Pelodiscus sinensis: one gene and its partners. The protein of the gene in region 1 interacts with the protein of each later gene in a pairwise test. Links are inferred from orthologs where the notes say so. Each region holds a gene or a part of one and is shown on either strand. Other genes may lie near its edges. The genes, in order: MYBPC3, TRIM63 and ACTC1.

Region 1 (7,665 bases):
CACTTCGGTTAATCTATAAGGTGCCACAAGACTCTTCGCCACTTTTGCCTCTACTGCAGGATAGAACATTCTTCCTACAGCGGGACTTTGCTCTTGGGGACCTGCTGATGCCAACTTGCATCATGGGGGATGCGGCCTACCCACTGATGCCGTGGCTCATGAAGCCCTACACTGGCCACCTGGCCCTCACCAGGGAACAATTTAACACACACCTGAACCGAGCCTGCATACAGGTGGAATGCACGTTTGGGCGCCTCAAGCGCCGGTTCATATCCTGCTGACCCGCCTCGACATGGGGGAACGCAACATCCCCAAGGCGGTCTCTGCATGTTGCATGCTCCACAACCTGGTGGAGAGCAAAGGGGAGGCCTTCCTCCTGGGGTGGGGGACACCGGTTGGTGGCAAGGGAAGGCAGTTTGAACAGCCCTGGAAAGCTGCCATACGCCAGGTCTATCAGCTGGGGGGGGGGGGGGGTGTGTATCCGGGAGGCCCTGAAGGAGAGGTTCTCTTAAGGAGCCCAGTAACTCTCCTCAGGGCCTCCCCAATGGAGGCTTGTGCATTGCCCTCCAATACCATTCCCAATACAACCCCTTCCTTCCCCCATTCCCTGCACAATCAATAAAGACACCATTTTTTATTTAAAAATAAACTTTGTTTCAACTTGTAGAAAATGTAAGTAACTGGAATGGAGGGGGACTCAGAACCAAGAGCAGGGAGAGGAAAGGGGGCTCAGAACCTGGAGGGGGGCTGGGAACTATGGGTATGTCTAGACTACATGGCTCTGTCTCCAGAGCCATATAGATTAGTTTACTAGACATACCCAAATGGAGTGGCGATTTAAATAATCGCCGCTTCATTTAAATTAAAATGGCTGCCGCGCTGAGCTGATCAGCTGTTTGTCGGCTCAGCGCGCTAGTCTTGATGCTCCGCGGTCGACATCAAAGGCATTTGTCGACCGCCCCGGTAAATCTCATCCCATGAGGCATAACGGAGCAGTCGACAAATGCCTTTGATGTCGACCATGGAGTGTCCAGACTAGCGCGCTGAGCCAACAAACAGGTGATCGGCTCAGCGCAGCAGCCATTTTAATTTAAATGACCATTTGGGTATGTCTAGTAAACTAATGTATATGGCTTTGGCGACAGAGCCATGTAGTCTAGACATACCCTAGGAGGGGAGCTCAGGGCTGGGAGTGGCACATGGAGCACCTGCCACTGCCGCCTCGGGTCTGGGGACCTCGACAGACTATGGGTTAGGTGGGTTCTGCAACAACAGGGGCCTGGGCAGGAGGGGGGGCTGCTTCAGGGATGGTGGGGGGGCAGGAACGGAGGGGACAGGGGGAGCAGCAATGGAGACAGGACCCGGGTAGGCAATAACTCCCGAATCATGGCACACATGTTATCTCCCTGCTGCACCAGCTCTCCTCACATGCGCTCACGCCACTCAGCCTCCCTACAAGATTTCTGGGCGAGGGTTTGCTGAAGTTTGCAAATGCCCGCTATGTGCTGGCGCATGAGGTTGTAATGAAGCCGCCAGTGCCTTCGGGTCCCATGGCTTCGGCTGGCCAGCTGGACTGGTATGGCTCACTCCTCATCATCGGCTGGTCCGGCTGTGGAGGACAAGAGGGAGAGGAGGTCAGTCATCCCTGAACACGCTGGCTCTGAGGGCGTGCCCTCCTCCGTGAGCAGTGAGCACCTGTCCTTGGTACAGGGGACGCTGATGTCCTGAGAGCAAGGCCACGTGTGGCCTGCCCAGGAGCCCTGGCCTCACAGGGGCCCCGAGGTGCCCAGTGGACCATTCTGCCTGTTCTCCCCGTCCTATGGACAAACAGGCCAGAGAAGTGTCTGGCCACAGGGGATTCCCAGGTGCAAGAGAGTGGCCTGGAGCAGCTTGCACGCACACACACACATACACACACACACACCACTGCACCTGGCAGCGCTGTCTGCGGGAGCGGGTGGTGCCTCACGTATGCACACATGGCCGTGTGGTATGTGCTACACTTGTTGGTCTGTGTGTGGTTGTGAGTATGCCCTTGTGCCCAGCCTGCTTCCAGCAGTGCCTGGTGGGGAGAAGACGTCCCTCCCAGGGGTTGGATGTGTGTGGGGACTCCCCCCAGGCTGTGAGCAGCAGCCCATGTGTGCTTCAGGACTGGCTCCTGAGACCATGTGTCACACACTGCCGCTGCACATACTTGCACGGCCAGCTGCACCCTGCCCAGGCCGAGCATGACAAGTGATGATCATGCCTCATCCCCTGTGCACCTGCCTCCCCCACGCTGTGTGTGTGCCAACCTCACCGCACTCACCTGATGTTCCCTCCCCACCATCAGATGATGCCTGAGACCTGGGGGACTGGCTGCAGGCTGAGGGTGACAACACTGCCAGTGTCCTCCTCCTCCTCCTGCAGCTCGTGGTTGTTGTTGTCCTCCTCTGCCTGGAGCTCTGGCCAGGTGACAATGGGTGTCTCCATCTCAGACTCCACGGGGATGCATGGTGACAGGGCTTCTCACTCCCCAGGATCTGATTAAGCTCCCGTTAGTAGGGGCACGATTGTGGGGCTGCCTTGGAGTGGGAGTTGGCCTCATGGGCCCGCACATAGTCCTGCCGCAGCTCCTTGACCTTTGCCCAGACTTGATCAAGGTTGCAATGGTGGTGACCTCTGTGGGCCAGAGCTTCGGCCATCTGGCTATAAGTGTCGGCGTTTCAGCGCTGCAACCGAACTCCAGGAGGTCCTGGATCTTAGCCCCCGACCACGATGAGGCCCAGCGTTTGGTGCCCCTGGAGGGTCCTGGGACCCTTGGGGAGGTTCCCTGGAAGGGTCAGCGGGACGTCAGGGGCCTTGTGGCTCAGCCATGGCTGCTGGCTGGTGTGGCAGGTAAAGTCACAAAGTCAGACTGCTGCCCTGAGGCCAGCTTCCTGCCACAATGCCTTCCCCGGGTGCCTGCAGCTTTAAGTCCTGGCTGGACACAGGAACTATAGAGCTGTGATTAGTGTAGACAGATTGTCCACCAGGGCACCTGTGCTTTGTCCTGGAGGCCTCTTTTTTTTTAAATAACTGACTCTCCTGCATCCACACACACCTTTTTTTGAAAGAGCTCTTTTAAAAATAGGGGTTCTTCCTTGTAAAATGAAGTTTACGAATGTTGACAAAACTCCTGCGTTCTTTTGATTTAATTTCGAAAGAATGTGATTGCAGGTAAAGTTTTTTTGAAAAAAGGCCAGTTTTTTCAAAAAAACAATGTAGTCTAGACATTCCCTCAGACAGCTTCAAGCAGCAGCCACACAAAGCAACTACTGACCTGATGCTCTGCCTGAACTGGTTCTGGGTGGCCTTAAATGCGATTTAGCATCTAATCAGTGTGGACACACTATTTTGAAATAGCTAAGAGCTATTTCGACATAAGCTATTCCAGAAAATCTGTTCTGGACTAGCTTATTCCAAAATAATGCCGCTGTATAGACATAGGCCTGCAGATAAAGCTACTGCTGCTCATTGGGGTGAATTAACTATCTTGACAGGATAGCTCTCTCCCATCTGCACAGAAGGCTACATGAGAGATCTTGCAGCAGTGCAACTGCATTGGTGCCAGGGCTTCCCTCACCCCAAGGATCTGATTGAGATCCCAGTACTAGGGGCACAATTGTGGGGCTGCCCTGAGGCTGGAGTTGGCCTCACAGGCTGTGCTGCTATAAACTCTCTATTGTAGACACTATTGTATTGTTACGTCCACTATTGTATTTTGTCTTAATTTAGATGTGAGGTCTTTTGAATAGAGACTGTTATTTTATTATGTATCTTATAGTGCTACACAATCAGTTACACCCAGATCTCAACTGTAGCTTCTAGACCCACGGTATCTAACATGGTAGCCACTAGCCATATGTGACTATTTGGCCAATTGAGTGTGGCTAGTTTGACAGTTTCAGAATTGGTTGGACACCACAGTTCTAGATACTACTGCATAGCAAATAATAAACTAGTAACAACTCTGTACAGATATAAGTTACTTCACAGTGCAAAGTACTAACCATCTTTAATGGGTTTCATAAAAAACAAACTAACCAAACAAAATGCTCCTATTTTAGGAGAATGTTAAGATTTCAAAGTAGGAAATGTCATGGTTAAGATACCACATGAACCTTTATTCTGCTCCCATTTCCTCATGCGCATATATTACAAAAGTCTAGTTACATGATCACAAGCTACCAAGTAATTTTTCTATTATCTGAAATACATGAGGTACCTTACCGAACAGCCCATGACTGTTGTGCAAGAGACATAGTATATATTCACAGGTTATAATATGCACCTTGCATGATTGTAGGGAAAACACTATAGGTGGACAGTGTAACAAAATGGCTGAAAGACAGATTATATACCATTATTCAGGATTGCAAATCAGATCAAAAGCTTGGGTTAAAGAGTCTGGTTCTTATTCAAGTATATTCAACGGTGACATAAGCTGTCAAACATGAGGATAAGGAAGACATGGACAAATAAGAAACTGGTTTTTGAGAGCTTGATCTAGAGAGGTGCTGGGCACCCTCATGATCCATTTAAGTTTGTGGAACACAAGAGTACTCAACACCTGCAGGATTGAGTCTTTAAAGTTATATTCCAAATTAGTCAATGTTGTCTATAGTAACAGTCCCACTTGGGGAAGTGAAGAGATTGATGTCATCACTCCACAATGGTAATTCCCTGGAAACAGACAGGAAGAAACAGCTGCTTTACAAAACGCACAAAGAGATTTTTTTCCAAGAATGTAACTTTTTCCAGTGTTCTGATTTAGGAACACGATAAATAGATTTACTGATGCTAGAAATCTGAGAATTACAGCTAGACAAGAATTTCAGAACTTTTTCTTTTGATTTTCTAAAAAATCATGAAGTTTCTCTTTAAATCGATGCACTTCAAAATCACTCTGTTTGCAATTAGTTGAGCATTTATATGCTCAGATGGTATCATGTTATAACAGAAATTATAAAATCATCCTAGGGGAAGCCTGTTATAATTTTAGAAGCAATTTAGCAATCTGCTTTCTACATCACTTAACATAATCACCATTAAACTCCATCTGCCTCAGTGTGGTAGACTTTATAGACTGGTACATCTATTGGTTCTGAGACAGCTCTCAATGGACAACTGGAACAATGCCTACCAATGATAGTTTTCAGGATTTCTTCAGTGCTGATTTTGAAGGTGAGAGCTTCTTCCTTGGTCATGACATTTCTTTTTGGCATTGAGGGTGACTCAGCTCCAAGAATAGCCTAGGAGCAAGATATTTGTCTCTCTCCTGACTTTAAGGAAAAATAGAGAATGCCTCATGAAGAAAAGAGTTATGTCCTTATCCCAAACACAGCTGGCAAAGCAAAACTGTCCTAAAATAGCCTCACAGTTGCTGATAACTGAGGCTGGTGGACAAGTATCATTTCCTCTTACAGGGAAACTGTGATTATTCAAAGAGAGCAAATCTGTGATAAACTGTGTGTGTGAATGGCTGGAAGATCTTAAATCAGGTATTTCCAGCTCACCAGGGAGTTCTGTCAGATAAAAGAGTTCTCATTAGCTTTCGTGTTTCTTCAAGAGGTAGCAGAGAGAGAAAATAACAAACACTGAAATTTAACAAATTCAAATTTAAGATGGAAAAATCTCTGATCAGCAATTTGAGATCTGACAGCCAGGACTCTGAAGGAAGGAAGGCTAGAGTGTTTCCTTAAAAATATAAAAATATAATCTTTGAGCAATTTGATCTCTAATATAAAGCTTCACTGCCTACCATTGTTTTGAAGTCATGCAATATGAAGCTAAACTCTCTGGGAAAAATGTCATGGGGAAGAGGAAATATTTATTGCTAAATATTTTTTGCAAATCATTTTGAATACTCTTTTAGCAAGTAGTTTAAAATAATGATGTTAATTTCCAAGCCAAGATCTTTTTATTTTCTTTAAGTTGATATTTTGAAATATTTTTAGAAACATTGTTAAATCCCCATCTGTGTCTGGTAAGATTTGTCATCTGTGGCATAGGGGTTTGAATAATCATGTGCCCAGCTGTGAAGGGAACCAAAAGAACTGTATTCTCTGTAGTAGTATATTTCATCCAGCTGAACTGTTTTAAGTAACTGTCTGATGAAGGTGAATTGCCCCCAACCCATCACACACTCAAACAGGAGCTGTTCTATAATTTTAGAGAAAGATTGAGCAAATGTGAGAGTCTTACTAGCTTCCAGGAGACTAAGATGAAGTAGAAAACAGTGACATTCTCATCTTCCTTGGAGTTTGGCCCAGTCACATGGATGGAATTTACTCTGGACCCTAATCAGCAAAGTGAAATTATGATTAGTAATATCTTGCAGAAATATGTTACAGCCACTGCTGATTAAGATAATCATTAATACCTCTCTGAGCTTACTAGGCTGCTGATGTACTTGTAGAGCTAATTCCCTCTGTTCTTCCTCTCATTTCATACACTATTAAAAAGTTCATCTATGGTCTACCTATGATTGGGAAGGCCTTTCCAAAAGGACCACTCTTTTCAGTACAGGAAGTCTCCAACTTATGAATGAATTATGTTCCAAAAGTTTGTCTGGAAGTCAGTTGTTTGGAACACAGAACACATTTTTCCATCGTGACAATGTTATAAATAAGGGCTGCTCAACATGTGGCCTGTGATGCAGTTTGGGTTTACACAGGGCTCAACATGGGGCCCGCGGGTGAGATCCCTTGAACATGGCCTCCACTGGGAACATGCTCCACAGCACTGAGGCATCTCCCAGGCGGGGTGAGCACTCAAAAATGCAAGTGGATGGGCTGGATGGAACAGTTGGGTACAGGGTATCGGTGTTTCTAGCCCCTAAGGAGAAGGTGCCGGGAATGCTGGGCATTGTGTGAAAGAAGCTATTTGCATATACTGGCTTATATATTTGCGTGTATATGCAACCACATTTAAGTTGTGGCCCTCAGCATGTGCTTGAGTATCATTGTGGCCTCCGGGGCTTCCAAAGTTGAGTTGCCCTGTTATAAATGGTAGTTAGGTTCCCAGGCTAACCCACAAAAGCCCACTTAACCCATAAGGTAGCTGAAATACTGTATATTTGCAATGAAAAATAGCAGACATTGTTTTTTATTTAACTTTAAAGGCTGGTGCATGAAGAAAGGCAGGTTTAATTAGATGATGAGGAGGAGTTAGGTGGAGATTCTGAAGGGGACTTCTGGGAATCCCCCAGCTGTCATTTCTCCCCTCCCACGCCCAGCTGGCTCTGTGCCAGCTCCTGAGGCCAGCCCCTGGCCACCCTCCCCCATTCACCAGTAGGTGGTGAGCGGTGAGAATGTGGGACGGAGCACTCCGGAGAAGCAGAAGGTGGCTGTGCAGCTGGTGGCTGGAGAGAAGCAGCAGTTTCCTCTTCAAAGTGCCACTTCTCTTCAGCTGTTGACTGTGTGACTGCCCCCTGCTCCTGGGAAGTCCTCCTGGCAGCACTTGCACTGCTCGCCACCACCTGTGCCTCTTGCTTGCTCCCCAGAGGCCAGGGCCATCCTTACCTTAAATAAAATACACTCAACCAGTGAAAGAGCCAATCAAGTTGTAATGAAGCCATTTAACAGGAATTTGCCAACCTCAGGAATATACTGTCAGTTTCTGATTTTACTCTGTTAGTCTACA
Region 2 (7,526 bases), on another chromosome or scaffold:
CACTTGGATGGAAAAGATTAGAGGGAACCTTGGGAACAGCTACTGTGTTCGCTCCCTCCTCCCTGCAACATGACTCTCAAAGCCGCGGCCGTGCTGCTCTGGGCACAGTTTGTTTTTATCAGTCGGGAAGTTAAAATGTGTGGAACGAAGGAACCGTGCAACCAATAAAATATGTCAGTGGTCACATGGTTACAGGTGGGGCAAAAGTGGACTCCCTGGGAGCCGGTGCACCCCGGAGCTGGCTTTTAACCCAGCTCTCCATGCACCGGGAGACTGCAGGTAACTGTGACCATTAACCCATGAGCCCAGGGTCAGTTCCCCGTTTGCAACAGGCTGGGGAGGGGGATGGGACATGTTACTGATTCTAGGCACGTGAGAGTGGAACCGTGTAGACCAGCTGCTGCTCTTATCGCGCCTTCGGAACTCCACTTGGGAGATGGTATTTGCTGATTCTGCAGACCTCCCCGGCCCCCCCCTTTCAAAGCCTGGTACCATATTTGCCCCATAGAGCACCTGTCTCTGCCTCCATGCCAGCGATTCAGGAAATTCATCGGTTAACTCCTTTCAGACCTCGGAATCCAGATCTGCACCTGCTGCTGTGTGAACACTCCCTGCCTCCTATTCCCCTGCCTGCCTGTTGTCCGCACCCGGGAACTGGCGGGGCTGCTGGCGCGGGCGGGCGCGGGGCTCACCTGGAGCACTCCTGCTTGTAGATGTCGATGATGTTCTCCACCAGCAGGTTCCGCTGCAGCCCGTAGACGCCGTGCCGGTCCAGGATCACCTCGTGGCGGCAGGAGGGGCACCGGAAGCGCCCCCCAGAGAGGGTGGTTCCCCGGCTCTGCCAGTACGGATTCGCCGCCTGTGAGTGCCGGCAGCACAAGGGCAAAGGTCACCCCAGTCACCTGCCACAGGCCCAAAACTATGGACGGGTGGAGGCCCAGCTGGGGAAGGCAAGTCCCAGCCCCGCCCCTTCCCCACACCCCTGTGGAGCCGAGCCCCGCCCACCCCCAGCTCCATCCTTCCTGGCCACCTGGAGGGCTGGGGCTGCTGCGCCATGGCCCCACCTTTCCCCAGCAGCTGTGGGGTGGCGGCAGACGGCGACGCCTTCCCTTGCCTACAGTACCCGCCGCCCACGCCTAACGCTCACCACTGCGCAGTCGAGACAGTCACGTGGACTCGTGTGAACCCCGCCCCTCGGCATCCCCCAGGGACAGAGCCTGCATCCCAGCCCCGCCCATCGCCCGCGGGGCGCAGATCCCATAATGCTTTGCACCCGGTGAGCGAGGAATTACGGCTCACAAAACCCCAGGAAGGAGGCAAATGTCTCCCGGGCACAGCTGGGCGCCCGAGGCAAAGCAAAACCCCTGAGGCAATGTGGCCAAGGGGCAGATCTGGGAATGGAGCCAGGAGTCCTGAGTCGCAGCCCCCTGCCGCAGCCACCCCCTCCTGCTCCTGAGCTGGGCACAGGGCATGGGGGTGCTGAGAGGCGTCCGTCGTTCACGGGTTAGAAACGCCTCCGAGCGCGCGGGCTCCGGGAGTGTACAACGGGCTCGGAAGGGACCAGACCTCCAGGGCCTGGCCCAGGGCCCACGGCCCCACCGCTCCACCACTTCTGGGGCAGCCAAGAAACGTCGCCCAGTTAGAATTTCCCTCTTGCCCAGCGGGCGCCTGCAGCATTGACCCTGCACTGCCGGGGGGGTCTAGGGGGGAGATTAGGAAAAGCGACTTCCCCAGGCGGGTGGGGGACGCTGGGCTGGGTTCCCTAGGGAGGGGCTGGCGTCTCCATTCTTGGCGATGGGGAGATTTCATTGGGATGGGTCCTGCTTTGGGCAGGGGGCTGGACTCGGTGCCTCCTGAGGGCTCCGCCCGCCCCAGGGCTCCGTGATCCTATGAGAAGTGGCCAAGCACACGGGGCGGGGGGATGGAGAAGCCGACTTTTTGGCAAAATTCCCAGGGAGGAATCTGAGCTGCAGGGACCTCGACATTCTGCCCATTGCCAGGAGTCAAGGGGGTCTGCACATGGGGGAAGTGCCAGGAACCCACGGTCAATTACACCCCCGCCGGCACAGCCTGCAGCCGGCCCTGCAGCGGGTCCCATCGCTCCCTTCCTGCCTGGTCTTCTCCTCCTTCCTCTATTGCTGGGAACGCTGGACGTGAGCAGCACAGCTCAGCGAGAGGGGGCCCAGCCATCGGGTTTATCAGCTGGCTCCTAGCCCGGCTCAGCCAAGAGAGGAGACCAGGGGGATGGGTCCTTTCTAGAACCAGGTGCCAAGCCGGCTCATTCCCAGGCCGTTGAAGTCACGGGGATTTTTTCACCAGCGTCCTAGATAAACGCAGAGCGAGACGCTGCCCCCTCCGCTCTGACAGACAAGCACAGCCTGGAAGGGCACAAGCTAGAGCACTTGGAGCCAGAATCTTGGAAAGCCGACAGGCGGGATTGAACCTGCGACCTTCGGGGCTAAAGCCACAACACTCTATGGCATGATCTGAAAACCCACCAGCTCCCAGCTGCGGCCTGGAGCGAACTTTCCTTGTCAGTGGCCTCTGGGTTACACAAGCCCGGAGTCTACCCCGCCCTGCCCGGCTCCTGACAGGGGAGCGCCCAGGGAAGCCTGGCCCTTCCAGCCCTCAGCCACCCCGCGAGCAGCCTCCGGTTCGGTCCCCGGGAGCTCACGGCAGCCTCCCCCCCGCCTGCAGCCAGGCACAGGAAGTGGCCCAGCCACGGGCCAGGCACTCACCTGGAAGACGTCGCTGGCGCACTTCCGACACAGGTTGTGCTGGCAGGGCAGGATGACCACGGGCTTGTTGAACATCTCCAGGCAGATGGGGCAGATCAGCTGCTTCTCCAGGTTCTCCATGGGGCTGGGGTCTCGGATGATGCTGGGCTGGTAATCCATGGCGCTGGGCGGCCTCCCCAGGTATATCCCAACGCCGGTGTCGACAGCTCCTCAGGGAACTCTCCCGGCTCCGCCTGCCTTCTTCAGCTGCACCAAGTTCTGAGCTCAAGCTTCTGGCTCCTTCCCTGCGGCTCAGCCTGGGCTCCTGCCTTTGCCCCTCTCCCTGCCTATTTATAATTTAGGGCAGAGTCACATGTGCTGGAGAGGGGCTCGAGTTTCCAGCGGCCTGCCTGTCACATGGGAGAATGAGCAATCGGTGCCCCTGGGGGGAGCGGGCTGTAAACAGGGCAGGGGACGGCCTGTCCGGGGCTGGCCCAGCCACAGTTCCTGGGATTTTGCAGTGTCTTTCCAAACAAAGACACTGGAGACGCAGCTGTAAACAGAGTCATCCCCCTTGTGACCCCCACCCGGCCTCCGCGTCCCTATCGCAAAGGGTTAAGTGACCCCCTTAAGAACATCAGAGCGGCCAGGCGGGGTCAGAGCAAAGGCCCATCCAGCCCAGTGGCCTGTCTGCCCACAGCGGCCAGTGCCAGATCCCCCAGAGGGAGGGAACACAACAGGGAATCCTCATGTGATCCCTCCCGTCACCCATGTCCAGACAAACAGAGGCTGGCGACACCATCCCTGCCCAGCCTGGCGAACAGCCATTGATGGACCTAACTTCCAGGAATCTAGCTAGCTCTTTTCTGAACCCTGTTAAAGTCCTAGTCTTCACCACATCCTCTGGCGAGGAGTTCCACGGGTTGACTGTGCACTGAGTGACGAAAACCTTCCTTTTGTTTGTTTTAAACCTGCTGCCTGCTAATTTCATGTGGTGACCCCTAGTTCTTATATTGTGGGAAAAAGTCAATAACTTTTCCTTATTCACTTTTTCCACACCCGTCATGATTTTATAGACCTCTGTCCTATCCCCCCTTAGTCTCCTCTTTTGTAAGCAGAAAAGTCCCCGACTTTTTAATCTCTCTTCAGATGGGACCCGTTCCAAACCCCTGATCACTTTTGCTGCCCTTTCCTGACCCCTTTCCAATGCCAAGAGATCTTTTTTGAGATGAGGCGACCGCGTCTGTACACGGTATTCAAGCTGTGGGTGCACCATGGTTTTATAGAGGCAACGAGATATTCTCTGTCTTACGCTCTGTCCCTTTGCTAATGACTCCTAACGTCCCGTTTGCCTTTGTGACGGCTGCTGCACTGCGGGGATGTTTTCAGAGAACGACCCACTGGGACTCCAAGATCTCTCGAGTGGTTGGAGCTAAATTAGCCCCCACCGTATTGTCCATGCAGCTGGGATTGGTTGCTCCAGCACCCGCCCTGTTCAGCCTCGGCCCGAGGTCCCTGCTGGGCATCACAGATTTCCACCCAAGCCCCACAACTCCCCCAGACTCTGCTGGCTGCTCCTCAGACCGTCACAGCCCCCAGCCCGGCCATGGGTCCTGCAGGTAGCACCAGACACCCCCAGTGCCAGGGGTGGGGAGCCGCCCGAGGGCACCTCCCAGGCCTGGGACTCGGGGATCCTCCATTGTGTTAAAATCATCGAACCCCAGAGTCGTAGGATGGGAAGGGACCTCGAGCCTCTCGGCAGGGCCAGGCACCGTCTGAGCATCCCGGGCAGGCGCGTGTCCAGTGAGGGACCCTCCACCACCCCCCAGGGTTTAACCCTCCTCGTGCCCGTGAACCTGGCCGGCCCTTCCCCCTGCGGTCAATGCGACACGTCCCCGCCCAGGGCTCATCCCCGTTGTGCAGCACAGGAGCTGCCGGGCCAGGCGCGTGCTCAGGGAGGGCCTCTCCCCCACGCCCAGGGGCTGCTGCAGGGAAAGAGGCCTGGGGGAGTCCACTCTCTCCCTGCAGCTGCCGCCCTAGGGCAGCCTGACCCCCACACCCTTCACCCCGGCCCCAGCCAGAGCCCTGCCGCCCTCCAAACCACTCGGCCCCACCCCCGACACATGGATTTTGTTATGTGCCCCGCTATGGCGGTGACCCCGTCCCAGGCCCAGCCAAGCAGCCAGGCCATCGGGGGCTCGGCCGCCTGCACAGCCACGAGCAGGCCGTCCGCCCCGCGGGCCAGCAATGCCCCTCGGCATGGGCAGTGGGTGAGCGTAGGGCGGGCCGAGGAAAGTCCCCAGCCTGCCCCTAGCCCCGCCCCTTCTGCCCAGGCCCCGCCCCCACGGGAGCCAAATTGCCTCCCCCCTCAGGCAGCATGTGGCCCCCGCAGCAGGTAGGCCTGCGGAGTGTGGGCGGGGCCAGGCTGCCTTCCCCACCTGGCATGCCGGCCACACCCGCCATTCTCCACGCAGCAGCCGGAACGGGCACAAGCCAGGCACCAGGCTGGGTCACATGCAAACTGCAGGAGGCTTCGGGCTCCCTGGATGCTCAGTAACAGCGTTGGAAGAAGCCAGACATCAGCAAAACGACCCCCCAGCCAGACCCCAGCGCGAAAGCGCCGCGTGGGAGTCGCTCGCGAACTCTCCCCGTCGGACCGGGAGGGGCTGCTTCGGCGTCCCCGCCTTCTCATCAGCTGGGGGACCGGGCCTCGTTAGCACGGGCCCTCCGCAAAGTAACGGATCGCTCCCCTCCGGGCAGGCGCAGGTAGCCCTGCCAGACCGACGGGTCCATCCCACGCTTGGGGCCCAGAACCTTTCCGGTGCCCCGGGACTCCTCGGAGCAGGAGACGCTCACACATCACCTCCACATTGACACACCTAACAGAGTCCATCCCGCACGCGCATGGGAACCATTCGAAGGAACCTGATGGGAACCCCTATTAACGGCAGCCGTACAGCTCCTCCGAGCTCTCCCGGCTCCCCAGTGCGGTACCCCCGGATCAACGGCCACCCCTACGAGCATGCTCACGCAGTCCTCAGTCAGGTTCTCTCGGTGTACAGAACAGACGCAACCTTGTGACGTAGTGGGGGGGTGTCTGCTCTGCAACCCGGGGTCCCCTTGCGCTGTGCGATTCCCACGGACTCACCCACACGTGGATTGGCCCAGACACCTAGTCCCAGCCTGGGCAGGTAACAGGGCTCTTCCCAGGGGGAGAGACAACGGGAGGGAGGCGGAGACAGTCACCGGGCTGGGGGGCAGGGCTGGGAGGGAGGCAGTTCCTGGGAAGGGAACAGACTAAGCTGGGTGCAGAGGGTTGGGGGGCGATGGACCCCCTAACCCGAGGGGGCTGAGGCAGCCTGGCCCTGACTCCTGTAGCCACATCCCGTCTGTGCTGGGCTGTACCCCGGAGAAGCAAGAAACCCCCCTGTTCTACTGGCTGCAGAGTCTGTTCTTGCTGCTGCGGGGGTGCAGGCTCAGGGGGGACCCCGACGCGCCGTCACTCCCCTCGGCAGGCCTAGGGTCCTATTTTCGACACCCGGGGGTGTGCGTACAGGGTGTCAGCCGCTCTCTCGTCCCGGCATCCGCAAGGTGCCTGGGTAGCGCCGCCGTCCGCGCCCTCTGGGTAAATAGCGGCAGCTCTGCCCGTGCCGCTCAGGGACTCCCAGGAACCCCTGACAAGGGCAGGCGGGCGGCTGGGCCTGTCCCCAGCTCCTTAGCAGAAGGGCTCGTGCGCGGCAGGTGATTCACTCCCGCTCGGGAGTGAAAACCATCCGGTCTGCTCCCCCCGCCGGGAGAACAAGCCAGGCCAGCTGCCGGGGGCCCCCAGCCCCAGGAATCCAAACGTCCCCGGGGCAGGGGCCCCACGGTCAAAACAGACCAGCTGGAATTGGGACTGGCGGCTCGTGGGCCAGGAATAGCCACGGGCAGGTAGAAAACCGCCTGCTCCTGCTGGCTCACTGCCCAGGTACCTGCCTCCTCGCGCACTCCCCACGTGGCCCAGCGCTGCTGGAATGGGACCCGACGCGCGTGTCTGCTCCGCGGGACGGTGGCCAGCTGTGGAAGCCCCCCTGGAACCTGCTCACGGCCCCCCAGGGAGCCTGCTGGAGAAACACTGGCCTGGAGCCGCAGGGCTAGCAGCCCAGCCACGCCAGGGCACAGTCAGCACCGGGACGCCTCTCGCTGGTGCAGTGGCCCTGCTGGCTGTCATGGCGAGCCGTGTGCTGGCCGGCACTGCCGGGAACCCAGCCAGTCGTTAGCTCCTGCTGCAGGGCCCTGCACGGAGCTGCAAGAATAAATCCCTGTGGCTGCGGGCCACGGCTTCAGCATGCAGGGCCACGGCTTTGGAATACAGGGCCACGGCTTCAGCACGCAGGGCCACGGCTTTGGAATACAGGGTCACAGCTTTGGAATACAGGGTCACGGCTTCAGCACACAGGGCCACGGCTTTGGAATACAGGGCCACAGCTTTGGAATACAGGGCCACGGCTTTGGAATACAGGGCCACGGCTTTGGAATACAGGGCCACAGCTTCAGCACTCAGGGCCACAGCTTTGGAATACAGGGCCACAGCTTCAGCACTCAGGGCCACGGCTTTGGAATACAGGGTCACAGCTTCAGCACGCAGAGCCACAGCTTTGGAATACAGGGCCATGGCTTTGGAATACAGGGCCACGGCTTCAGCACTCAGGGCCACGGCTTTGGAATACAGGGTCACGGCTTCAGCACTCAGGGCCACGGCTTTGGAATACAGGGCCACGGCTTTGGCACTCAGGGCCATGGCTTTGGAATACAGGGCCACGGCTTTGG
Region 3 (8,071 bases), about 19 Mb from region 1:
ATGGAAGTAAATAAATATTATCCTCATTTTAAAAGGAAAATAGAGCGGTTAAGTGACTTGCCCAAGGTCACAGAAGAAATATGTGGCAGAACAATGAACTGAACCATGGTTACAGAGTCTTATGTTAGTATTCTTTTGTACATTCAGCAGACTGTTTTGATGATTTTTTTTTACAAGTGCCATGTTTGAAAGACATCTATCTTTGTGTGACTGTGAATGTGTTAGAGACTGCTCACAGTTTTCTATTTTCTTTTGGAGTTGAGGGGTTGAAAGGAAACATTCCTATAGCAATCAGTTATTTTTACCTGTGGTACGACCAGAGGCATATAGGGACAAGACAGCCTGGATTGCCACGTACATGGCTGGCACATTGAAGGTCTCAAACATTATCTGGGTCATCTTTTCACGGTTAGCTTTAGGGTTTAGAGGAGCCTCTGTAAGCAAAGTAGGGTGTTCCTCAGGGGCCACACGCAGTTCATTGTAGAATGTGTGGTGCCAGATCTTTTCCATATCATCCCAGTTGGTGATGATGCCATGTTCAATAGGATATTTCAGTGTCAGGATACCTCTCTTGCTCTGAGCCTCATCACCTACATAGGAATCCTTCTGACCCATGCCAACCATAACTCCCTAAAGGAGGAAAATATAAAGAAACTTTGTCTGGGTGGGAAATACCATCATTAAGCACAGATTTAATTGTACCCAAGAGATTAATATTTTATTTGGGACAAAGGAGAGAGAAATGAAGAGCTATGCCAAAATGTGTTTAAATACAGAAAGTAACAGTTACTTTGAATATTAATTAAGTCAACACATGGCTGAATCCTTTAAAAAAAAAATCCTACTTCATTTAATCAAAGTGACAACCAACAAAAAAAAGACTCATCCAGCTCATTCCCAAATATCTAAGGCTAAGTTGGAAAGTAATCTGCACAATATCATAAATATGAATAGCTGGATGAGAGAACATTTTTATAGCTATCCCCATTACAGTGAAATGTATCTACCAATGTAGTCAATCATTCATAAACTAGGAAGCAAATACAACCGTGGCATTCTGGACTTCATGCCAAATAGTATATTATAAATAAAAGAGAGGAGGGGCTTATCTCATGTAGTAAACAAAAAAAATGAATTACGTATTAGTGTTTTTATCACTGAGCCCATAATATCAAATGTCAATTCTGAGCTTTTATTTATTTTTTGCATGTAATTTATAGCTCCTTTGCGGGAAGGGGGCACAGTTTACTAAAAGTCTTCTATATACTGATTTAATGTTCATAATATGGAGAGATAAGGGGATGAAAGGAGGAAAAGTAGCATTATAAGGAGATAAGAGGAAGGGGAAAGGATCTGGGGGGTAAATAGAAAATGAGTAAGGAGTTCCAGGGTAACAGAAGAAATAGATAAAGGGATTCAAGGGGAAGGGCAGTGGTGTGAAGGGTTAGATGATGAGCTATGTGAGGAGGCAAAGGTCTAAGGACAGATCCTGGCTCAGGTGTTGTAAATTCAATGAATGGAGCTAGATGGATTTCCACCTGCTGGAGCTCTGGTCCACGCGGGAGGGAAATTAGGAGAAACTAGACAGCTGAGAGAGAGGAGCTAAGGTTAAAGAGATAAGGCTGTGAAGAATGAAACCGAGGCCCAGTGGGGAGAGGGAGGCGATGACAGATACGATCTGAGAGGCTAGGATGTGAAGACTGGGGAGGAGAAAGTTCAGGAGGGCAAAGATGCGGGGTTTGAGGCGTGCGGCGCCGGAGGAGTGCAAGGAGATGGGAAGGTCAGAGGGGGGAAGCGGGGTCTGAAGGAGCACAAGGGGGTAAGAGAAGCAGAGCTGCGAGGCGCCGCAGGAGGAGGTGGCTGGGGACGAGCACGGGGGAGCGCAGCGCACGCGGCTGCGCATCCTGCCCCCTGGGCGAGTCGCGGGGCAGTTACCTGGTGCCGGGGGCGGCCGACGATGGACGGGAAGACGGCTCTGGGGGCATCGTCTCCGGCGAAGCCGGCCTTGACCAGCCCGGAGCCGTTGTCGCACACGAGCGCGGTGGTCTCCTCGTCGTCACACATGCTGGGCGGCGGGCAGGGATCTGCAAGACAGCCCAGCCGCGTGTCCAGAGCCCGCAGGCAGCAGCGCGCCCTTCCCGGCCACGTTACACCCCCCCCCCCCCACACACACACACCCACACACACCGCGGGGGCAACTTTCTCTACCCCGCGGGGTCTCGCCTGAGCAGCTCCCTCCCGCGCAGTGAGAACTATCAGACAATAATCCCCCTCCCTCCCTGTCTGATCACCACACACAGGGGGCCGTTCTTGGCAGACCTTTCCCTCCAGTTGTTCCTCATTATGACTGATCCCTCAGAGCGACTGCCTGCAGTGACCGTAGATCTGGCAGGGGAAGTTGCTACATAGCGCAAACGCTTCTCCAAGCCTTTGGGGAGGGTCTGGGCAACTAACCCCCCCTCCCACCCCTTCAAGTTCTTCAAACGCCCTACAACTTCTTCTGCTAAGCATCATTAGAACGACTTGAAAGCGATGTCTCTCAAAAGATCTCTTTGTTTGAAGGACAAGCACACTTTTGAGAGCTGGGGTGGAGGGGGATCTCACACACAACACGTTGTGGTGTCTTATAATTCCCCAGGCCGCCAAGATGTGCCGACCACTCTTGTTTTAAAAGCAGTGGATGTAATGAGGAATGAATGAATGAAAAGCTTCTAGGCTTCAGTCCCTCCTTCCCAGCCCTCACCCCAAACCCGACACAAAATTAGCCCTTGCGCAAAGCAGCTCCTCCAAGGTGGTCGCTAGAAATCCAGGCAGCGTCTTCTCTTTTCAGCCCGCTCTTCTAATTGCCCCAAAGATGCCTTCTACAGCTGTGCTAGGAACTTGGCTGATGGGCTGCTCAGCGGTATTACTCACCAGATCAGCACCTACTGCGTGGCGTTCCTGAGAAAAAAGGCTGGGTAGTGACTCAGAGGCAGATACACCAATTTATACTTCCTGAGGGCAGCGGCAGTCCCAGGCTCCTGAGGGACAAGCTAGCCACCTTTTCCTTATTTGGTAGGCTTCACTCCATTGAGTAGCAGAGAAGCCATTAATGGAGTAAGGGAAGGCAAAAGTCAGAGTAGGCTACAGGGCCCAACAGGCCATGTAAGGAAAGCAAGGGGGTGACATTCTAACAGCAAATGGGATGGCCAAATAGGGAGATCCTGTGAACAAATCATGCATACTTGTTCTGGAGGCCAATATTTTTAAAAAGATGAATGAAAGAAGTGTTCCATCTTGCTGTTTTAAATAACCAGAAAGCTGAGAAAGATCAATGAATTAAGCTCTAGTTGCCATAGTGTCTGGCATGTGTGACTGCAGCTTGGGAAATAAGTAACTGGGACAAGTGATGGGTGACATTTAAAGGAGATAATAGTTGGACCATTAATATCAAAATGCATTTGTTTGGGGATGGTTGCGCCCTTACTTTTATATTGAAACTGATAATATCCCCACTATTGAAAAGACAGCAGGTGAGCAGGCCGATGTGTGAGGCTGTCATTGGTAGCTACAATCTCAGGTTTTGCTCTTGGGAAAAAGGCAGAAGACAACATTTGCTCCCTGCATTGCTTCAGCAAGAAGCAATGCACATTTTAATTGTCTCTAAACTTTGGTTAATACACATAGGAAAAAAATTGTGCCCTCCTTTGCTTTTGGTAGGCAATGGGCAGTGAAAGCAGTATCTGTTGGCTTACAATACCGCATATATAAACTCCCCATTTTTGTACTTTTAGTGCATACTGAATCAGTAATGCATAGTGATGTGTGAGGGAGGGAGGGAGAGATGGAAACAGCTTGAACAAAAGCAGCCATGGTATTAATGTAATGTGGCAGTTGTTTTCCTGCTCTGTTGCTGAAACATCCACATTGATAATTTGTTCCAGCAGTGAAACCTAGAAGATCCATATATCTTAAAGGGGTTTTTTTTCGGTTAAAAATAGAAAGACTGGAGAGGCATCCCTTGAGTGGGTTTGGCCTGGTATGTGAAGGCACAGATTGTCAACGAGTTTCCTAAAGGAACTTTATTATACTGCAGAGTAGTGTCCTTCGGGAGCTCAGCTTGTAAACTACCCAGACATGTTAATGTCTGCCTACGCTGCTCACTCTTGGGAAGTAAAATCTGAGCCCAAGGGAAAGGGGCGGAGGGCAAGAGAAGTAGCAGCAGCTCAGCCAGATCAGTCACTCAAATACAAATCTTGTGCATGAAACATATTAGATGCTGATAAGGATCACTTCTATCAAACACCCATGTATATCTTAAAAGATGTGGGAGGAAAGAATCTTTGAGTGTAATTTGTAGTCTGCTGCAGCTTTTCTGTGCTGTCTTTGCACCGAGAAATGGCCTCAACAAAAAGTGTGAGTGGAAATTACAGAGGATCCATACTATTCATTTCTATATTGTACTTCAAGGAGGTGGCAGAGACTCTTGCACTTTAAATTTCTCCTGTAGAGATAATAGATGCAACAAATATTGTGTAATAGCGTAAGTAGTTAATCAGAAGTTTAGCTCTGGCTAACCTACTTGTACCAGCCCCTCCCCAGCTCATCTTGGGGTTGTGCCCATTTATGAACATTTTTTTTTAAGATATTGCAACAATCATCTTAGCCGCAGTTGGCTGCTGCTTTATTCTAAAACCTTTGAAAAGACCCACATTGTTTCAGGTGAGACACAATGACAATTTAAAAAAAAATACTTAAAACTAGCCCAGATATATATGAAAGGATGGTTCAAAGCTATAAATTACAATGACAGAAAGAGGTCATTGAAGTGGAGGGCTAGGCTTCACATACTTCTGCTTTAGGAATCAGAGAGAAAGACAAACTTCACATGCATTAAATTTATTGGAATTTGGTGTAAAAATTAATCAAATATTGGCATGACAAGGCACACAAAGTGAGTATAGACAAATACTTTACATAATTATAAATATTTAAATATGTTTATATATTTATCCATCAGTGTATATATGATATATATAGGCTATAGTGTGCGGAAAGGGTGTGGTTTCAAATTAGTAATGTGTTTAATACTTCATTTTCCATTTTTATTACATTTCTGATTCAATGGCAGCTTCCCACATGTAATGTCTAGTTGTTCTTGTCCAGTTTTTCCTTCTTCCTAAAGTTCATTTTTTCTGCAGAAACTGAATAATGCTGGAGATTGGCCTTTTTCACCAGCAGTAAAGATTAGCCTACAGTGTTATCTCAGCTGTCCTTCCATTCAGAGGTGTTACAGTATTTACATAGAAGTCTGTTACTGATAGCCACTTTGAATTCCTCCAATCTCAGACCCTCCCTGTCACATCCTATGTTCCATTTGGCTGGAGAAAGAATGAGTGTGTCTGAAAACTGAGACAAATAAAGACAGCACTTGTGTGCAAGACTTACCAGGGACAGTTGGTCCTACGCCGGACCTTTCCTGTGCATTTCATTTTTAAACATATATCTGCTTTCACTCCTACTTGCTCAAATTATAGTTTTCTAATTAAAACACAATAGGACTTGAAACTAGAATACTGATGTCCTTGAAAGCTAAAAAAAAAAAATCTTTCTCCTTACTGTACATGACAAGGTCAAAGGAAAAGGGAACCATGCAGTGTATTGAATCCAAACTGGCATCTGTTTCCTCATAACCATTTCAAAAGTACCCAGATAAATTCATTTCTTTGGCCAAAATCATCCTTCTGTCTGCCAAAAATTTAAAGTGACATTACAACAGCAAATAAATCAACAAACAGCAGCAAAACCCAACATCATCTGGGGTTGAGGGGAAGTCCAGAGATTGAAATCATTAGTCTCTTTACCTGTAGGATGCATTTCTTATGAACCACCCACAGCCCACACAGTATATTAGAGGTAAAAGAAAAGCAAACAGAAGGGATTAGTAGATAGTGGAAGGAGCTGCAATAGTGATAGTTCTTCACATATCTAACTAAAAATGGGTTTGTCCTTCAGAAATATTAAGACTGTAGTTTTTAAGAAATGTTAATGGGGAAGCACACGTCTTTTCATTAGCAAAGTTGTGACATATATGCAGAAAGGCAGCCACTTCATTTCTAAAATCACAGCATCTTAGAGCTGCTTTGTGGAGCAAGTCTGCTTTCTTGATGCAACATTCAAACCAACTGGAAGCAATCAGTATGCAAACAGTGGATTATTAGCTCTTCCATGCTAAAAAAACAAGATTATAAAGTGGTGATAGTTCAGATGCCTAGAATCTCCTAGTCACTTTAGTATTTTAGGTGAAGGAAAGATCAACAGGAAAATACAGCCCTAATTCTGCAAGCACTTTCCACCAAGTATAGTGTTTATTGCCCTTTGGAATTCAATGCGATTATTTACAACAGTAAACACTGCATCTAATAAAAGATTTTGTTGGCACAGGCCACCCTTTGTACATATATTTTGCTGACTATCAGCTTATTCTTTAGATTACATATAGATGTTATAGATCATAGGTGCCAATGAATCCTTCCTATCACACTAAACTGCTAAGGTAACGTGCAATATTTCACAGAAGTTCTGTTATAGAACTGTTTTTTTGGAAGTTTTAAACATGTTATTGGTACAATTGTTGCATCCTTTCCCCTGTAAAATCACTAGTCTTAGTTATAGTGAAACCCACTGTGCAGACCTCTGTGGGGGAGAAAAATTATAACTAATATATTTTAGAAACAAACAAAAATATATTTAATACCTGTTACATATGAAATATCGCCATGATTTTAAAGTCTAATATCTTGTAATCTACTGGGGTTTGGAACAAAAGCTTCATCCCACCTCAGTGCTATAAAGTAGGGGTGGGGAACCTTTTTTGGGTAGAAAGCTACTGAACCTCAGGCAAGTAGATTTTGTGTGCTCTAGCCCTATGGTGGGATAGTAGGGGGGCTGGAGTGCCAGCACAGGCTCTCCAGTGCTGGAGAGGGGGAGCCCTGAGCCTTGGGGGGATGGATCCAGGCAAGCCAGGGCTGCTAGTTTCCCACCCCTGCCATAAAGCATCTGTATCTATTCCCTTCCCCCAAAGGGAATCTTGTACTTTCAAATATGTCTGTGGATCAGAGTTGAATATTGCCCTTCTGGAGCCTCAGGCCGGAGAAATTTTCATGAGAAATTCTACATTTTCAAGGAAAAATCTCAGATTTTATTTTGTTCCATAGCAGCTATTTGAAAGTTCCGTACGGTTTTGGAAGAAGTTATCCCAGCAGATCTTGAATGGTGGGCAGAGCGCAGGCAAGAATACTAAAAGCACATGACAAATTTATCAGATGACTAGCATCTCCACATATGTGGGATATATGCCTACTCACTCTAATCATAGAAGCTAGAACTGAAAAAGAGAATTAGATCATTCCTGCCAATGCAGAATTGTTCCTTATGATACGTTTTCTAATATTTTGTCCAATCTAATTTTGAAAGAATCAAGTGACTGAGTTTTTTCTTTCCCCATGAAACATTATCCCACTATTTAATAACTACATTGCCACACAGTTTCATCTGATATTCACTCCCTCGCCATTTCTTAGTTTCATTCTATTTGTCCTAGTTATAGCCCCATGTATCATTCTAAATACATTCTGTCTCCTTCACATTTAAACCCTTCACATAGTTGCAGGCTGTTATGTCTCCCTCTTTCACTCATAAAGGGCTGTGTGTCTATAATTAAACTTGTGTGTCTTAAGAGTGTACTGAAATGAGGGAAGAGCGAGATGGGCAATAGGAGACTAGAGATGCATCCAAAGCATGTTTGTTATGAAGCTGAGAGAAGCAGGGTCAAAAATATAGATGGATGTGAGAAATAATATAAGTACTGGATCACTAGCCCTTACGAACTATTTGCAATATGCCATCTACTATATATTCAAGTGAGTCTGCCTGTCTGTTCTAGAATGCCTCCCAAATGTTAAGAGCTAGGACCACCAAATTTGGTATGCAGCTTCCTCTGATAACTTAAAGCAAGGTCAGGGTTTGGTTGTGTGAGGAATGGGATGTGCCTGGAATTGGGATTTATTCTCATAAAACCATACAGAAAATA

Evidence for each region.
Region 2: the proteins of MYBPC3 (region 1) and TRIM63 interact in a two-hybrid assay, tested with the Homo sapiens proteins (2 studies listed by BioGRID and IntAct). The link is inferred for Pelodiscus sinensis from reciprocal best matches to the Homo sapiens genes MYBPC3 and TRIM63.
Region 3: the proteins of MYBPC3 (region 1) and ACTC1 interact in a two-hybrid assay, tested with the Homo sapiens proteins (2 studies listed by IntAct). The link is inferred for Pelodiscus sinensis from reciprocal best matches to the Homo sapiens genes MYBPC3 and ACTC1.

Annotation. Positions count from the first base shown.
Region 1 is NC_134714.1:74,657,822-74,665,486, forward strand, and holds the start of MYBPC3 (myosin-binding protein C, cardiac-type), read left to right. Parts: upstream 1-4,632; 5' UTR 4,633-5,156; coding exon 5,157-5,205; intron 5,206-7,665. UniProt on the Homo sapiens protein: Thick filament-associated protein located in the crossbridge region of vertebrate striated muscle a bands. In vitro it binds MHC, F-actin and native thin filaments, and modifies the activity of actin-activated myosin ATPase.
Region 2 is NC_134735.1:1,664,495-1,672,020, forward strand, and holds the start of TRIM63 (E3 ubiquitin-protein ligase TRIM63), read right to left. Parts: upstream 3,058-7,526; 5' UTR 2,898-3,057; coding exon 2,739-2,897; intron 860-2,738; coding exon 693-859; intron 1-692. UniProt on the Homo sapiens protein: E3 ubiquitin ligase. Mediates the ubiquitination and subsequent proteasomal degradation of CKM, GMEB1 and HIBADH.
Region 3 is NC_134714.1:55,501,253-55,509,323, forward strand, and holds the start of ACTC1 (actin, alpha cardiac muscle 1), read right to left. Parts: upstream 3,066-8,071; 5' UTR 2,914-3,065; intron 2,085-2,913; 5' UTR 2,065-2,084; coding exon 1,936-2,064; intron 631-1,935; coding exon 306-630; intron 1-305. UniProt on the Homo sapiens protein: Actins are highly conserved proteins that are involved in various types of cell motility and are ubiquitously expressed in all eukaryotic cells.